Struthio camelus: one gene and its partner. The protein of the gene in region 1 purifies or fractionates together with the protein of each later gene. This does not show direct contact. Links are inferred from orthologs where the notes say so. Each region holds a gene or a part of one and is shown in the gene's direction. Other genes may lie near its edges.

Region 1 (7,476 bases):
CCATTCTTGGGTGCTGAGCATCCACTCTTGTTATTTCAACTGCAGTTGTGTTTATTCATCACCCCACTAGCTCAAACTCCTTAGCATCACAAACTGAGCATGTGGAATCTAGACTAATGAGCTCTGAGGGTGTCCCAGATATGATACTGAGCTAATGGAAAGTCTGTGCCTTAGTTCCTGAAAGCCCCATGAGCTCCCTCATTCTCCTCAGAGATTTGCATGTGGTCACTTGTACTGAAGACTGTACTCAGTCTCTGTTCCTTTTTGTCAAGAGCATCACTGCTACAGTAGGATTAGATGAGGGGGAAAAAGAAGTAAATGGTCTCTCTCCTGGCCAACTTGTTGCAGCATAGTTGGGAGCAGAGTATCTTGTCCCTCTTGTTGCACTTGTTTTCTGTCTGCTAGAGCAGGTGAATTTTGTAGTTGGTCTGGTAAGCTTTTTGCGGATAAGTTCCTCTTCTGTTCTTGGCTTCTCCAACCACCTTTGTGCAGAAGTGTGTGTTGTGAGGTTATTCTGCCTGTCATATTTCTGAGTCAGGCTAAAGGAGATGGTGCATGTACCTGAAGGGTATTCTGCTTGAAGCCGTCCCTTGGCTTTGAAGTACTCCCTTGTGGCGGCTGAACATTCCTGTTGTCCTTGGAACTCTTTCCCTTTCTCTTGCTAAGGGATAGGGTGCTAACGTTATCCCAAAATGAAGGCTGGGTTTCACACTTTCCCCTATCTTCAATGCCAGATCCCTTTGCTTGCTCCTTGACCCTTGGTACATCTCTTAGCCTCTGTGCTGCTTCTTTGTTTTGTCGCTGGAGAGTACTCGCTTGTCCACCTCGTGAAGCGCTCTGAGGACAGAGTGCGTTCAGTCTTTATTCCACCAGCAGAATGCAAGAGTTTTTATCAGTCTGCTCAACCTGCTCCTTGCTTTAAGGTAAGGGGGACATACAGGGAGCAAGATACAGACTTCATGGCTAATCTTATTTATATCTGCATTGGAGACTTTTTAGCTGGGAGAGGTTGAATGTTTTTTTTCAAGTGAATGTATTGTCTTTTGAGCCAAGAGATGGCAAAAAGATTAGTGGCCATATTGGACCTGAAGGGGGAGGAGACATGGGAAGGTCTTAAGATTTGACTTTGTCCAGCTTTGGAAGGGACAAAATATGGCCTTGAACAACTTTTTGAAGCAATAGCAGTGAGGGGGCTGCCACCTATACAGGACCATGGATCTTTAACTCAGAAGATGCTGAAACAGCTGGCACAGGTGCTTCAGTCCCTTCCCCAGGGCTGGTACTGGCTGCAAGATGGAGCAGCAAAGATGGCTTTTTTTAGACCTGCTGGTGCGCTTTCTATGTGTTCATTTTCTACTTGGGGGCTGTGAGGGAAGAAGCTATGGGACTGCTTCCCTCTGTGAACTTTCACTCTATTCCTGTATAGTCCTTTTTCTTTCCTGACGTTGTAATTTGCATTTTACATGAATCCCCATCCCACCTCCTTCACAGTATATTTAAAAAATAAAAAAATTAAAAAAAAATGAACATGCCATTGGAGCAGGGAGCCTGGTGGTGTTCTAACTTCTGCAGACTTATTTTTGAGATGTGAAAAATTTAAATAATTGCTAAGTCTTAGGTGAGTGAGGAGCATAACGGATGTAAACATTTACATGGGATGCATTAGACTTCTGCTGTGTGTATTGTCTTTTGGTTGAAACAAATTACGAAGTGACTAACAATAAAATGAGTCAATATTCAATGATTTAAAAGCTGTGCCTTGTTGCTTTTTGCAAGTACAGGGGGATAGGCCTTTTTTGTTCTTACAGTTGGCCATAACAAGGTCGGACAATGTGAAATAATAAGCAAGAAGGTAGTGCAGATTTTTCAAAGTTTTCTGGGAAGCTTAAAGAGCAAAATGAGTGCTGACAATTATGAAAAATTATTAAACAAGTGATGTGAAATATCCTTCTAAAAGAGAGCTTGTCAGCTAGAGGCAGCAATACACGTCCAGGTGCTAGAAAGATGTGATGAGAATTGAACATAAGAAAAACTTTCCTGTATCTGCAGCCTGTCCTTGGAGTTGATTCCCTCACTAATTAAAAAGCCTCTTTTCATATTCTGTATGCCTCTAGGATGAAGACTGCTGTAATCCCATTATCCATTAAAGCAATATAAGTGCCTGCTCTGAGTTCTTCCGTGTTTTCTAGTTGCAGTAACATTGCATTAGACAATCTTCTCGTGTGCGCTCCGGCACACAATTGCACTTCCTTCTGCAAAATGTGATAGCCTCTGTATTGCCATGTGTCCATCCTTTATGGAAATTCTCTTGAGGCAAAATAGTTACAGAACTATTGCTATACTATTGCTATAATGCTGTAGCTAAAATCCATTATAATTCTACCTTTCTGTAGGGAAAGCTCCGTGAAAAATGGATTTGATTTTTTTTCCCCCCAAGCTTTTCAGCTTATTTATGTAGTATGGAGGTGTTAAGAACTAGATGGCCTTTTCTGTGACTGCCTTGGCTAATGACATGAATTAATAAAAAGTGGCTAGGACTGCACTTAACTACAGTGATGGGATGAGTTGTCTGTCAGTTCCATATTCCTCCAGATACTCACCTGAGCATTTAGATATGGTATCTAAAACTGCCAGTTTGCATGGCATCAAGAAGTCACTCGTCACAGGTCCTAGTTCTGGAGCGGGACAGATTGTTCAGAAGCATTTCCTTGTCATTCCTTCCATCAGGACAATGCTGACCCAGTTATCCCTGTGAGTCTAGCCTTAGCCCTGAAAATACTGCACGGGCAGTGCTGTGCACTTTCAGAGTGTACGCAACACATACGCCTGCAATCCTGATTCTTTGACAGCCCAGGAAGATGGCAGGAACTTTTTAAAGGAAATGTATTAGAACTAAGAGAGCGTTTGGCACAGTAATAATGCCAGTAGGGACACATAATTTGGAAAGCACATCTGGAGTTAACTCTGAAATTAGACCGGAAGTCAATGTATCGGGAAAGAATTGTGATGATGACTTAAGATTGAGCCCAGATGCTCTCTTGAGAGCGGACTTGTCGTGAGGGTGTTTGACTTGTGTCTTTGTTAAAGTTTGGAAACACTGGTGATTATGGAGAAGGCAGGAGGCTTTTGTTACCTTGTTTTTTAAATGCTTGACCTTGTGCGGGAATGAACAATACCCGCCTCAAAGCATTCTTTTCAGTCTGCTAAAACAGCATAGCAGTGAAAATTAGCATGTAATAGTTAAGACTGCCTGGTGCTGATGTGATGGACAGCAATTGCAGGAAGAAGATTTTCAGATGCTCTGCTATGTAACTTCAGCCATGGGAGGCAGGAACACGGGTTTTGCTATTGCTTGTCTGAGTAAGGCTTCATCCACTTAGATGTGAAACTTTGAGTGACTGGTAACAGACACTTGGGAGGTGAGCACCCAAAATCTTGTGATAGACGGTTCTACAAAATACAGGTAAGCTTTTATCTTCTTTCCTTACCTGGTTCGTAAGTAATTCCTACCTCTTTCCCTTCTTAAGAAATAGCTGTATAACTTGCATTAGCGAAATTGCAAAAATATCCCGAGCAAGTTATTTTTGGTCGGCTAATGTCACAGTCCTCATGTGCTGACTTTACAAATTTTTCTGGAATGTCTCCAGTTTAATGCTAATTTTGAAATACAGAAGATACCTGCTTTAATTCCAGGCAATTAAAATAATGGAAAATCCGAATCTATAATCTTAGTGAAAAATTCTAGGGTCACAGTTTGGTTGTTGAATGATTCTTAATACATTAATTTGTGTGTTTTAGCTGTGTTAAATGGAGTAAAAATGGACACTTGCTAAGCTTCGAAGCCTATTCTGAATTATTCTGGGGGTCTTGATCGGTTTTTGGCCTTTTGAACGTCAGTGCCCCGGGAAGGGGGGGACGGAAGGAAGTGCTGAGGCCGGGAGAGGAGGGGGGAGAACGAGAAGGGGCCGGCGACGCTGTCGGAAACCTTCGCTCTTGGTGCAGCGCGGGGTGCTGCGAGCGCCCCCCCCCCCCGTCCGGTCCCGCTCCCCCCCCCTCCCCCGGTCCGGTCCGGTCTGGTCCGGTCCGGCCCGGTCCGGTTCCGCCCCCCCTCCCCCCCCCGGTCCGGTCCGGTCCGGCCCGGTCCGGTTCCGCTCCCCCCCCCCCCGGTCCGGCCCGGTCCGGTCCCGCTCCCCCCCCACCCCCGGTCCGGTCCGGTTCCGGCTCCCCCACCCCCGGTCCGGTCCGGTCCGGTCCGGTTCGATCCGGTCCGGTCCCGCTCCCCTCCCCCTCGCGGTGCGGTGCGGTCCCCCCTCGTCTGGTTCCGCCGCCCTCCCGGTCCGGCCCCCCCCCCCCCCCCGCGGCGGGGCGGGACGGGGCGACGGAAGCCCGCGTGCTTCCGGGGCGGGGCCTGCGCGGGGCCGGTCCGCCGCCGCCGCCGCCGGCCGAGGTCTCGCCGTCCGGCCAGTGATGGGGGAGGCCGGGCCGGGGCCGGGGCCCAGGGCGCCGCCGGAGCCCGAGGAGGCGGCGGCGGCGGCGCCTGGCGGCGCGCGAGGAGGGGGCCGGGCGGGGCCCCGCGGCGGCATCCGGGTGCTGAAGGTGGGGCCGGGGCCGGGACCCTCCGGCGGCCGCCCCCGCCGCGCCGCCCTTGGCGGCAGCCGGGCGAGGCCGGGGGTCGGGTGGGGGCCGGGCCGGGCCGGGCCGGGCCGGGGGGGCGGCGGCGCTGCCCGTCTCGACCTTGCCGGGCCGGGCCGGGCCGGGGGGGGCGGCGGCGGCCTGCAGCCCCGCCTGGCTGCGAGCGCGGCCGGGCGGAGGGGGCGGCGGGGCCCCCCGGCGGGTCCGGGGCGGCACGCCTGCCGGAGGGGGAGAGCAGCCGAGGTAGCACCTAACGGTCTTGTTTTGCTCCCTTGGCAGAGAAACGTGAAGCGCAATGGGAGCAGAAGCTGCTTGAACAGGAGTCGGTTTGGTTCCCGTGAGAGGGACTGGCTGAGAGAGGACGTTGGACGAGGCTGCGTATACGTTTATGGAGGAGATTCTGCAGTTACTGCTTCCTCTGACTTGCGCTTGGTCCTTTGTACGGTGGACACCCCGGTATCTGAGATATGCGATGGAGAAGAGAGGGAAAACCTCTTTCTGCAGCTTCATGGAGACCTGGTCAGGTGAGGGCTGAGGAAGCATAGCTCTGCTTTGAGGAATATGTGCTGTAACATGCAGGGCTCTCTGCTTGTTGTATGCCTACATATGTCATCAGGGTTGATATGGAACAGACAGAGGTGGCCCAGAGTACTGCAGTTCATAAAGCAAGGTCGTGGTGAGCCTTTTGCACATCTTAGTCAAGCCATAGGTATTTTAGCTGGGAGGGGCTGACTGGCTCTCCAACCAGAAATAGATCCGTATTTTGTAGGTAGAGGTTACTGTTCATGTACTTCTTTATTATCGTTTGTCTTAGTGCTGTTTTAAAATCAATAAAACGTAAGCCGGTTAAGAGGCTGTAAGCGATTATTCTGAGTCAGTAAAACAGGTATAGTACTTTGACAGTTATGTCTAATAATGTTTATATGTTAGTAATTTTTTGGCTAAAAATATCTTCTTAAAATGAATTGCAAGGTAAATAACAATTAAAAGTAGACACAGAGGTAGCATAAGGGTTATATAAAGAAAGCTTATGCTTCAGGTCATGCATTTTATGTCTGCAGGTTGAAAATAGACCTTGGCATAGGGTTTAATGTGTGCGAACTTTATGCTGAGTGTATTATGGACTCCTCTAGGTTTACAAGCACCCATTAGGGATGTTAGAATTTAGACTTTGCATTGATTCTTCTGGACTTAAAATTCAGTTATAAAGTTGCTGCTCCTCTTTCCTCACAAAAAAAATGCACTATGATCCTGTTACTAAAGACTAGGCGGTAGAGATTGACATCACGAGCTGAACAGGAGCAGTATCTGGCTTCCAGAAATTGAAATGAAAATCGTATGTTGTACGGGTCCAAGGATAGAAAACATATCACGTATGTTTGATCAGATAGGGGGGGTGCGAGAGGCAAGAGATGTGGAGAATAGGATGCAATTAAAACTGACCGTTGAAAATGGTATTTAGACCTGTTTGTCTTGTCGTGTCTGGGTTATAGGAAACGGAGATAGGTCAGTTAGAAAGCCGTTAGATGAGGATAGACAGACACTTGAGTGGAGCCATGGAGGCAGCTGAAAATCTCCATTCATTGACTGAAGTATTTATAAGGAAATTAGCTTGCTCTGTACCATTGCAGAGAATAGAGAGAGCATTTAGAAGAAAGCATTGACCCCTTACTGCCGATCGCAGGAAGACTGGCTGAATGTATATCTCTCTTTTTGCGCTAGATAGCAGTGCCTGTCTTTGATTTGTGGCCAGCTTTGCACTGGATTGACAAATTGGTCCTGCCACCAATGTTCTGGAAGCAAACACCAAGTTGTAAACCTGGTTAATTCCCACTCGTAAACTTGTTGCTTCATGGTGCGTCTAGCAATTTGTCAAGCTTTATCTTGAGTTTGATGGAGAGTTTTTGATTCTTGCATGTCTGTTGCCTTTGTAATTCTCAGAATATATTTGCCACAAGAGGGATCCCTAAATTACTTCCCGTTTGAGGTGTTCTCAGTAGACAAATGGGAGTTACCAGTGTTGCTTCAATCTCTGTTGATAACCGGAAGCATGCCCAAATGGTACCTGCTTGCATTTCCACAGGAAGATGACAAAATGCTCAAGGTATCCTCATGCTCTGCTGAGATAATTCCTTCCTTGCACAAAGTTTGCTGATTACTTTAATAACGTGTTTGTGAATACAGATTGCTCAATCAAGCATCTGATTGCATTTTTCCATGAGTGTGTTAGTCTCCCAAATAGCTTCTGAATTCTCCACCCTTTTAATCTCAGTAGGTGACTTTCTGTCAAAACCTGAGTATGGCAAAGGATCATATGGTGTGGTACCTGACTGAATGCTACCTGGACAGCAAATGGAAGAATAACAGAAAACTTCTTCTTCATGTATTTGCTTTAAATATTCAGTAGTGTCCTTGTGATCTTTCTGCAGTTCCCTTCTAAGTATGTATGCAGTGGAGTCGGTTTCTGACAGAATTTTGTCTTATTCTTCACAGTGCAAGTCAAGGATCTTCAAGGTTTTCCTTGCTAGAATCTTTCTGTTAGCATCCTTTCCTATTCAAAAATATCCCTTCCTGCAGAGGGGAGGATTAGACAAAAATAGCATGGATACCTTCTTTGGTCTGGATACCCATCGCTACAAAACTTCTACTTAAGAAGGTTTGAAAACTGATTGTTACCAGTGAAGAAGAGCTACACGTGCAGTGGGAATTGTGAAATTGTTGCTGCTTCGTTTTGGCTTTGCTTCTGTCTTCTTACCACTTGCACGTTTGCCTAACAGAGCTGCCTCTCCCACTCAGTGGAAGCGGCCAGTATGCGATACGGATGCGGGTATAATGGGTTGTTTG
Region 2 (7,996 bases), on another chromosome or scaffold:
AAAATATCAAATCCACGGAACAAGAGTGACATAGAGTAGCAGGCAAAAAGAAAGGTAGAGGGGGGATTTGCCTTCTTTGCTATTGTTGGAATGCACAATGTTATGTATAAAACACAACACAAAAGAATACACACACACAAACACAGAAATGGAATTATATTATAGAAAATACATAAAGATCTGCGTTTGTCTCTCAACAGATTTTACCCTAAGGAGGAACTGCAGGGCGGAGACTAAGAAACATTTCTGAGCTAAACTAAAGGTGTGCCCCAATCCCTTTTAGAAAAGAATGTAATAGCGTAAAGTAGCTAATGTATTTATCAAGATAGTAATTTATATGATTCCCATTTCCCATTGTTCATACAGCACAGCAGAGTAAGAAAGTACACTGACATGAAATTTCCTATCTTTTAAATAGCTAATTGGTTTTACAGAATAACAGGAAATGGCTTTTATGGTAAGTACACATTAAAGGCATTGTTACACAAAGTAGCTTTCTGCATAATGATCTAATGTGCACTGAATAAGACTGAAAATCAGCTCAGTGCCTAAAGACAGTTATTCCATCTATTTCTTCTTGGCATTCTGAAAAATATACTATTAGTATCTTTGAAGTATTTTGTATTCCTCAAAAGTAAGATGTTGTAAGAATGCAAAACATTACTATTATCATCTATGAGAGATTTCCAATCTTTCTGATGCACTGTTTTTCATACAGTTTCTTCATGAAATGTCACCTTTTATTGTATGGCTCCAGGCATGATTATGAAACGGCAAGTACCACAGCTCTCACAAAGACTGGGTCATTTGGTTTCAAACCTATTTCTTACTGCAGTTCCCTGTAAGATTGAAGTTTAAACTTCACCTTTTTGTCAAGGATGCAACTGGTAAATTTTTTGCAATACCAAGCAGCTTTGCAAATTAAAGAGAAACAAACAAGCCGTACATGTGAATGAACTATAATACAGTACTTAGTAGTTCTCAGATTACTGTGAAAAAACTAAACTTAAATCAACTTTCATGCTGAGATAATTATTCTCCAAAGTTCTCTTGTTTAAATTCTGTCCATCCCTCCTGTCTAGCTAGCTGGGGCATCTTATTTATCAAAATGACTCAAAATTTGTTTTCTTTCCATTATCCTAGTTCTACAGTTTCTACTCAACATCAAGCGGTAGTAATTAAAAATTAATGAGCAGTCACTGTTTTGCTAGTATATCCGCAGAGCCTTTTGCTCATACACGGTCTAGTTGCGATACAAGCCCAGACCCACCAACTGCCTTAGTGACTCAAATTTAACTCCCTCTCACTCTTCCACGCTACTGAAGAAACTAACTCCTGATCCAGTAAGCAAAAATGGCGTGTAAACTGATTTGCAGTATTTTTCATTAAACTTCTACAAATACTCACTCATTCTAAACCTTAACACGCGTACGTACTACAGAAAACTTGGATATTTGCTCGACCGTTTTCTACAACTACAACTTTATTTCAGATGATATTCTGCAACTTTCCAGAACTTAACCTAACAGAAAGAAGTGCAGTTTTAAACCCACTACTTACAGAGAACCACAGTAGTATCTGTGACTATTGTACAGGCTGTGTAAGCATAATTTTGTGACTTTTATAGCAGATTTTTGACACGAAGGTTTAAAAAAAAAAAACAGTGGGTTATATTACTTAAATAATTGTCTTGTATATGGAGAAGTGCAGAATATAAAATCCCAGAAAAATTCAGCCATGCAAAAAAAATTAAATAGGACTTAAGATCACCAAGTTTCACATCCCATAAAATACGGACTAAATACAGTAATTTCAGTCACATCAGAGTCATATCCATAAATTATATATTGGCTACAATACTTTTGGCTTCAGGCTACGTAGAATCTATCATGTCCATTGGGGATTTGTTTTCAGTGATTAGCTGGTCTTAAAACACGCATCTTCTTCCTGCCTCGAATTCATCTAGCTCATCTCCCAGCTAGGGAACCTATTATGGCTTTTCTTGATGGATTAAAGAGGTTTTCCTTTACGAACACCCTTTTCCACTTGTAGTTGCATAATTATACGAAAAAACAAAGTTGGAAGGGATCTCCTAAAAGCATCTAGTCCTTGCTATAGCCCAAGGCAGCATCAGCTACACTGATATAATTCCTAGAGATATTCGATACAGCAGATGGTGATTCCAAAACCTCCATACGGAACGTGTTCCAGTGCTTCACCATCCTGACTGCCAGAAAGGTTTTTCTAGTGCCTCATTTGAATTTCCTGAACTGTAATTTCAGCCCATTACTTCTTGTCTCATTCATCATGGACACGAAGGAGTTTATTCCATTTTTCTTTTTATTTATTTGAAAATAGCTATCATGTTTCCTCTCTTCTTCTGTAGAAAAAATCCATCTGGATTTTTCATCGTCATTCATACTTTTCAGGCCTCAAATCATTCTTATCGCATATTTCTGAATCCTTTTAACATTTTTTGGAAGCCTGTGAAAGTCAAACCTTACAAAGCAGGACTGGAACAGAAGACAGAAGAAGCAGGGAAATGCTATCGGACTCTTGAGTCTACCAGTACAGAGGAAATATTATCTTTATATTCTTACCTATTACAATGATTATTCACCCAATAAGCATTTCTATTCCTTGCACTTTCATCCTACTTTTCTCCTGGTGTCAACCTCCTGGCTTAACCCCTTGACCCTATTCAATTCTCCCTGCTTCCATTTTGGCTCAACCTTCTTTTGCTCACACTGGTGTTTTCAGAAGCTCACAATTTAGCCAGAGATGATTTTCATGGAAATTGAAAAGTCACCTCTGGACTCATATATCAAAACATAGTTTCCCTAATATCAAAAACCTCACTCAATACCCAAAGGAGGAACCCAAAATGGAAGCTTGCATGTGGAAGAGTCAATTTTGTCACAGTTAAACAAGTGAACAGAGGGTCTCACAACAAAAAGCAAAGAGCTAACCTAACAAATTAGATCATCTTATCACTTTCCTAAAATGAGACAAACGTGATGAAATGCTGAAAGTTTTACTGCTTAACAAAGAAAATCTTACTTACCGTATTTTTTGCATAATCTTACCCTTATAACTTAATGACTCTGGGTTAGTTTAGGCTTGCTAAACATACTCTCATAAAGCATAGAACCTTATCATAATTCATATCTTCAGCAGCCTTCAGTAAAAAAGAGGCAAATATGACAGTCCTTGGCCTAGACGATCTTCAGAGGTCCCTTGCAACCTCAATGACTGTCTGATATAAAGAGATCACTAGATCTTTTTCTACTTCAACTTAATGAATTGATGATCTGAAAGAATTAAGAAGCACTGTATTATATATATATAAACAGCAATGACTATCCATGAATAGCCAGCTCTTAAACATGCAAAAAATTTAAAAAATCCCATAATAACGTAAAGAAATAAAAGGTCCTCAGTCCATAAGTAAATTCAACTTTAAACCAAACATACAAAAAATGAACACTACCCTTGCAGACGCAACATGATGAGATGAATTTTATCAAATGAATAACTCATTAGTGATTATGGATTATGAAACGATGACTAGGATTTATGAATGAAATTATTACTCCAGTTTATCAAGGAATATCACAAAAATCATAAACACAAACATTTCACTATCTTTCAAAGACAGTAAGAGATGACTTTGAGGTATGCACAAAACTTGTGCAATTAGAAGAAATCTTCAGCGTTTTAATGGACTAACACATACTGAAATGTAGCGAGGCACTTTGCTCAATATTTACTTAAGCAGAAGACTTCACACTGCCACATTTTTCTCCAGCCCAGAATATGATAAGATAACATATTCTATGCATGACAGCATCTGAGACTCTTTGATAATTACTGCTGGCCAGAAGCCAATACACAACTGAGCTCTTCTCAGAAAAAGGTTTAATTTTATCTTAGAAAAAATGAAATAAATTAAACACAGTTTCATACTTGACTTATGAGGTGCCTCAAATCATATGCTTCCCACGACCATAATAAGGACAAAATAGTAGAAATGCTAGAGTTAAGAAAGCTTTGGTCAAGGAAGATCTCCTTCAAGAATCATACCCTCCACCTGCAGCTGTGATGAGATCCTGCTGCACTCAGCAATGCTAGAAGACACGATCTGTATCAAAATACACAAAGTTTATCTCTGTAGCAGAACTGAAGCAGCTACTGAGTCTTCCACATATGGCTGCAACCAGTATTGATCAAGAACATGAACCAACACCCTTTCTTCCTTACCCCTTTACTGATTATTTGCTCTGCCAGTAAAAATCCTTCTTTTTCACTAATTATCTGCTCATCCCACCCATCTCCTCTTCTAACCACCTTCACTGCTTTGCAGTTCTGCTGTAAGAACCAGCACCGTAAAGATGTCTTCCACCAAGGCAGTCCGCCACACACCACTTCACATAGCTATCGCCCACAAGATGAGAGCTCCTCAGGTGTCGGGGCGGGACGTCCACCCCGAAGCATGAGGCCGGCCCGGTCCCCCCCGAGCTGCCTTCTCTCACAGGGCGCGGTGTGGCCCAGCACCTGCTGGCCTCACGGAGGAGGGAAGGATGCGGCCCGAGGGGACGTGAGGGGGGATGGCCGTCCGTCTGACAAAACAACGCGCACCCGCTCTGCTCCCGAGGCGGCTCGCTATCAGCGCTATCCTCTTTTTGTAACACGTGAGGCGGCCGTGACAGGACAGCCTCACACAAGGGCTCGGGCTGCATCTCCCTTGCAGCGTTTGCCCCGCGCGGCAGGCGGTCGCCGTCGCAACCCGCAGCCCTCGGCCCGCGCACGACATGGCGGAGCCTCCATCCCGCGCCTCCATCCCGCGCCTCGCCCCGCCCCCCTCAGGCCCCGCCCCTCAGGCCCCGCCCCCTCGGGCAGCTCCCCTAGCAACGCCGCGGCCAGCCACACCTCCCCATCCCGCTACGCGGCTACAGGGAGGGAAAGGGGCGGGACTTCCGGCGCGGCTCACCCTCCTCGGAAATGACATCAGAGTGTCAACATGCAAGATGGCGGCGCATCATCGGCAGAACACGGCGGGGCGGCGGAAAGTGCAGGTGAGGGCGCGGCCCGGCCGGGCCGGGGGGCTGCGGGCGGGGGTAGAGGCGGCGCGGCTGCGGCCCGGCCCGGGGGGGTGGGGCGGGGTAGGGCGGAGCAGAGCGGAGCGGGGAGGGCCAGCGGGCGGCGGCGGCGGCGGCGGGGGGGGGTCAGGGAGAGGCCGGAGGGCGCGGGCCCGCCCCGAGGTGGGGGGGGGGGAGGCGCCGCCGCCGCCGGCCCGCGGGGCTGGGCCCTGACTGCCATCGGGGGCGGGGGGAGAGGGAATAGGGCGGTTTCCATGGCAACGCAGCCGCCTTTTTCTCTTTCCCAACACCCCCGAGGCCCCCCGCCCTCTCCCGCCGGCGGTGCGGGCCGCCTGGCACCGCCGCGGCCCTTGGAGCGCCCCGCGGTCGCTAACGCCCGCGCAGGGGCGGGCTGGAGCGCGGCTTGCGGCTGAGCTGGGTCAGGCGGGGCTGAAGCATCCCACCCCTCTCCCCTTTCCGGCTCCCACTAAGCCTTCCCTAAAGGAAGACCGTGGGCAAGTCAGTCCAGTGGATGGAAACTTTCTTAATGCACCTGAGACGTGATCAGGCTTTGCAGTGTGGCTCGTAGGGCAGGTGTCTATGTAGGTACGAGTATTCCGAGTAACCTTGCTGGAGTTTGGGAGTGCTGAAATACCTACAGAAAGTAAAGATTCTCTTTAACGTTGAAGTGGTTAAAACGGTTTTATTATGATCCTTAACTTTTTTTTTTTTTTCTCCGTACTACCAGCTCCTTAAATATTTTTGCAGTTTTAAATGCGGTAAAGATTTAATGTTTTATCACTGTGTAAAGCTGCCTACCTCTAGTGGCAAGTTCAAGTCTCAACTCTGTCTAGCCACTATGACCAAAAGAAATAGTGATTAATTCTGAAATAGTATCCGGATCCTTCCAAAGGTGGGTTCGGTTTTTGAATGCATCTTTTGTATTTTGCTGCGGAGAGGAAATGTAATATTTTCTAGAGCCTTTAGTGGTTTTCCGCAGTTAAGGTAAGCACTTGGCCTGTACTGTATTAGATAAGGAATTCTCTTACTCTTCCAAAAAAACCCTCTGGCAATGTCTAAAAGGCAAAGAATCGGAAATATAATATCCCTTTATTGACTTCATTACCTGTGTCATATGCAAGTTCTTGCAGGTTTTTCTCATAAGGAGAAGATATTTATGATAACTAGGTGGTTTTTTTTTGGTGTAATCCTATTTCTTTAGGAATTCTTATTTTAAAAAAGGAGAATTTTCTCCAGAACCTTTAAGGATAGGGGAAAAGACTTTCAGAAGAGTGCCTTTTGGGCATAGAGGAACTTCATTCATAACCTGACATGAGAGCTGGTTAAAGTTTACTGAAATCTGAACTATTATCTTAGATGCATCCATTTTACTGGTAAGCAACCAAAACAGTCGGTTTAAGGCACTTCTGTGTATCTAACTGTATGTGTTTGAGGGCTAAATCAGAGTAGACATTTTAAGCCTCAAAATAGATTCTGTACATAAATAAAGGTAAGAAATTTAAATGTAGATCAGGCACTTAAAATGTCGACTGGAATGCTGTTTGCATTTCTTAAGCTTAACTATGCATATATGAAGGCTGCAATAGTAAGGCTGCCTGAGCTGGGGAAGGAATGGGGATATAGTGGTGTGGGAGTAGCAGGAGCTATCTGGTGAGAAAGGGCTGGCCATGTGCTATGACTTTCAGATGTATTACTGTGGATTAAGTCAAGATGAATCCACTTTTCAGCAGATGGCTTAAAGTAGCTTTTTTTGAGTGACTGCATTGTAACTGTTCTCCCAAACCTGCTGCCTGGTCTGTATGACGCCCTCCACCCTCAAATCCCTTTGGCCCAAAGGGTGAATTTCACCATAAGTGATTTCGATCAGTATCTTGATTACGAATTTACTGAATCAATTTTAAGTACTTTTTATCATGCACTAAAATATGCTGTACATAATAAGAAAACACTTTTGCACTGAGTTTCTATCATGTTTCTGCACCAGTACTGTATCATGACAGCAACTGGAAACTAGTGAAACAAAAAAGCTCCCTTACATTTAGAAAATATTTCAGCTACTAATTTTCTTGAATAGTAGCCTGTATTAAAAGCATGCTAGAATTTAAATATATTAAATGCCATAATATATTAGTTTTTTTGTTTTTGTAATACCTAATCAAAAGAATAGGAAGTCAATTGACTCACTGAAAAATTCATCTTATTCACAATAGCTTCTATTACTTTTATTCTAGGGTCTGGAACTCCTGATAATTCAAATACAGACCTCTCCTTAGTTAACAACTTATTCTAAGGTGTATCATCTGCTCTACAAAGATGCTAAAGAAATAGCTTGCTTTTTCTTGATTTCTTCTTCTCTCTTTTTTTTTAATGAAATTGATGCCAAATGTTGTGGAATCCTTCCAGTAATTTTGAAAAATACCATTTTTTTACAATTATCTATGGTAGCACTTGTGTCTATGAAAATTTTCTCTGCTTAGGAAGAAGAAATGCACACTGTCAGATTTTGGCTGTTCACCTTATCCTCCACCGTGATGGTGTGCTGATATTTTTAAAGCAGATTCGAGACATGGAGATTCTGCCCATCAGTTAGGATAGTGTCTGTTGTAAGAGATGTAATCTCACATGGGTAGCAAAATTTCAGATTAGCTGATATACTTGTTGTCCATAAAGGAGAAACATCATAGGTCCTTCAAGAACTTCATTTGACTTGGTACGCTGAAATTTCTGTTGACTGTAGATTTAGCTCTTGGCGCTCCAAAATAGTCATTAAAATGATTAGTCTTGAACCGTTTAGGGTACTGAACTCCATAAAATCTTTATAATGAAGGCCATCACTTTGTAATGTTTGTGCAGCATCTACTGTAGTGAAACATTCTTATTCATTAGGGGATTTTGTA

What was found.
Region 2: the proteins of PHLPP2 (region 1) and WDR48 purify together in Homo sapiens (affinity purification with mass spectrometry; 5 studies listed by BioGRID and IntAct, with this or other methods). This does not show direct contact. The link is inferred for Struthio camelus from reciprocal best matches to the Homo sapiens genes PHLPP2 and WDR48.

What each region holds. Positions count from the first base shown.
Region 1 is NC_090951.1:392,246-399,721, reverse strand, and holds the start of PHLPP2 (PH domain leucine-rich repeat-containing protein phosphatase 2), read left to right. Parts: upstream 1-4,467; coding exon 4,468-4,596; intron 4,597-4,911; coding exon 4,912-5,156; intron 5,157-6,573; exon of another isoform or gene 6,574-6,719; coding exon of another isoform or gene 6,720-6,736; intron 6,737-7,476. UniProt on the Homo sapiens protein: Protein phosphatase involved in regulation of Akt and PKC signaling.
Region 2 is NC_090943.1:6,911,376-6,919,371, reverse strand, and holds the start of WDR48 (WD repeat-containing protein 48), read left to right. Parts: upstream 1-4,994; 5' UTR 4,995-5,027; coding exon 5,028-5,075; intron 5,076-7,996. UniProt on the Homo sapiens protein: Regulator of deubiquitinating complexes, which acts as a strong activator of USP1, USP12 and USP46. Enhances the USP1-mediated deubiquitination of FANCD2; USP1 being almost inactive by itself.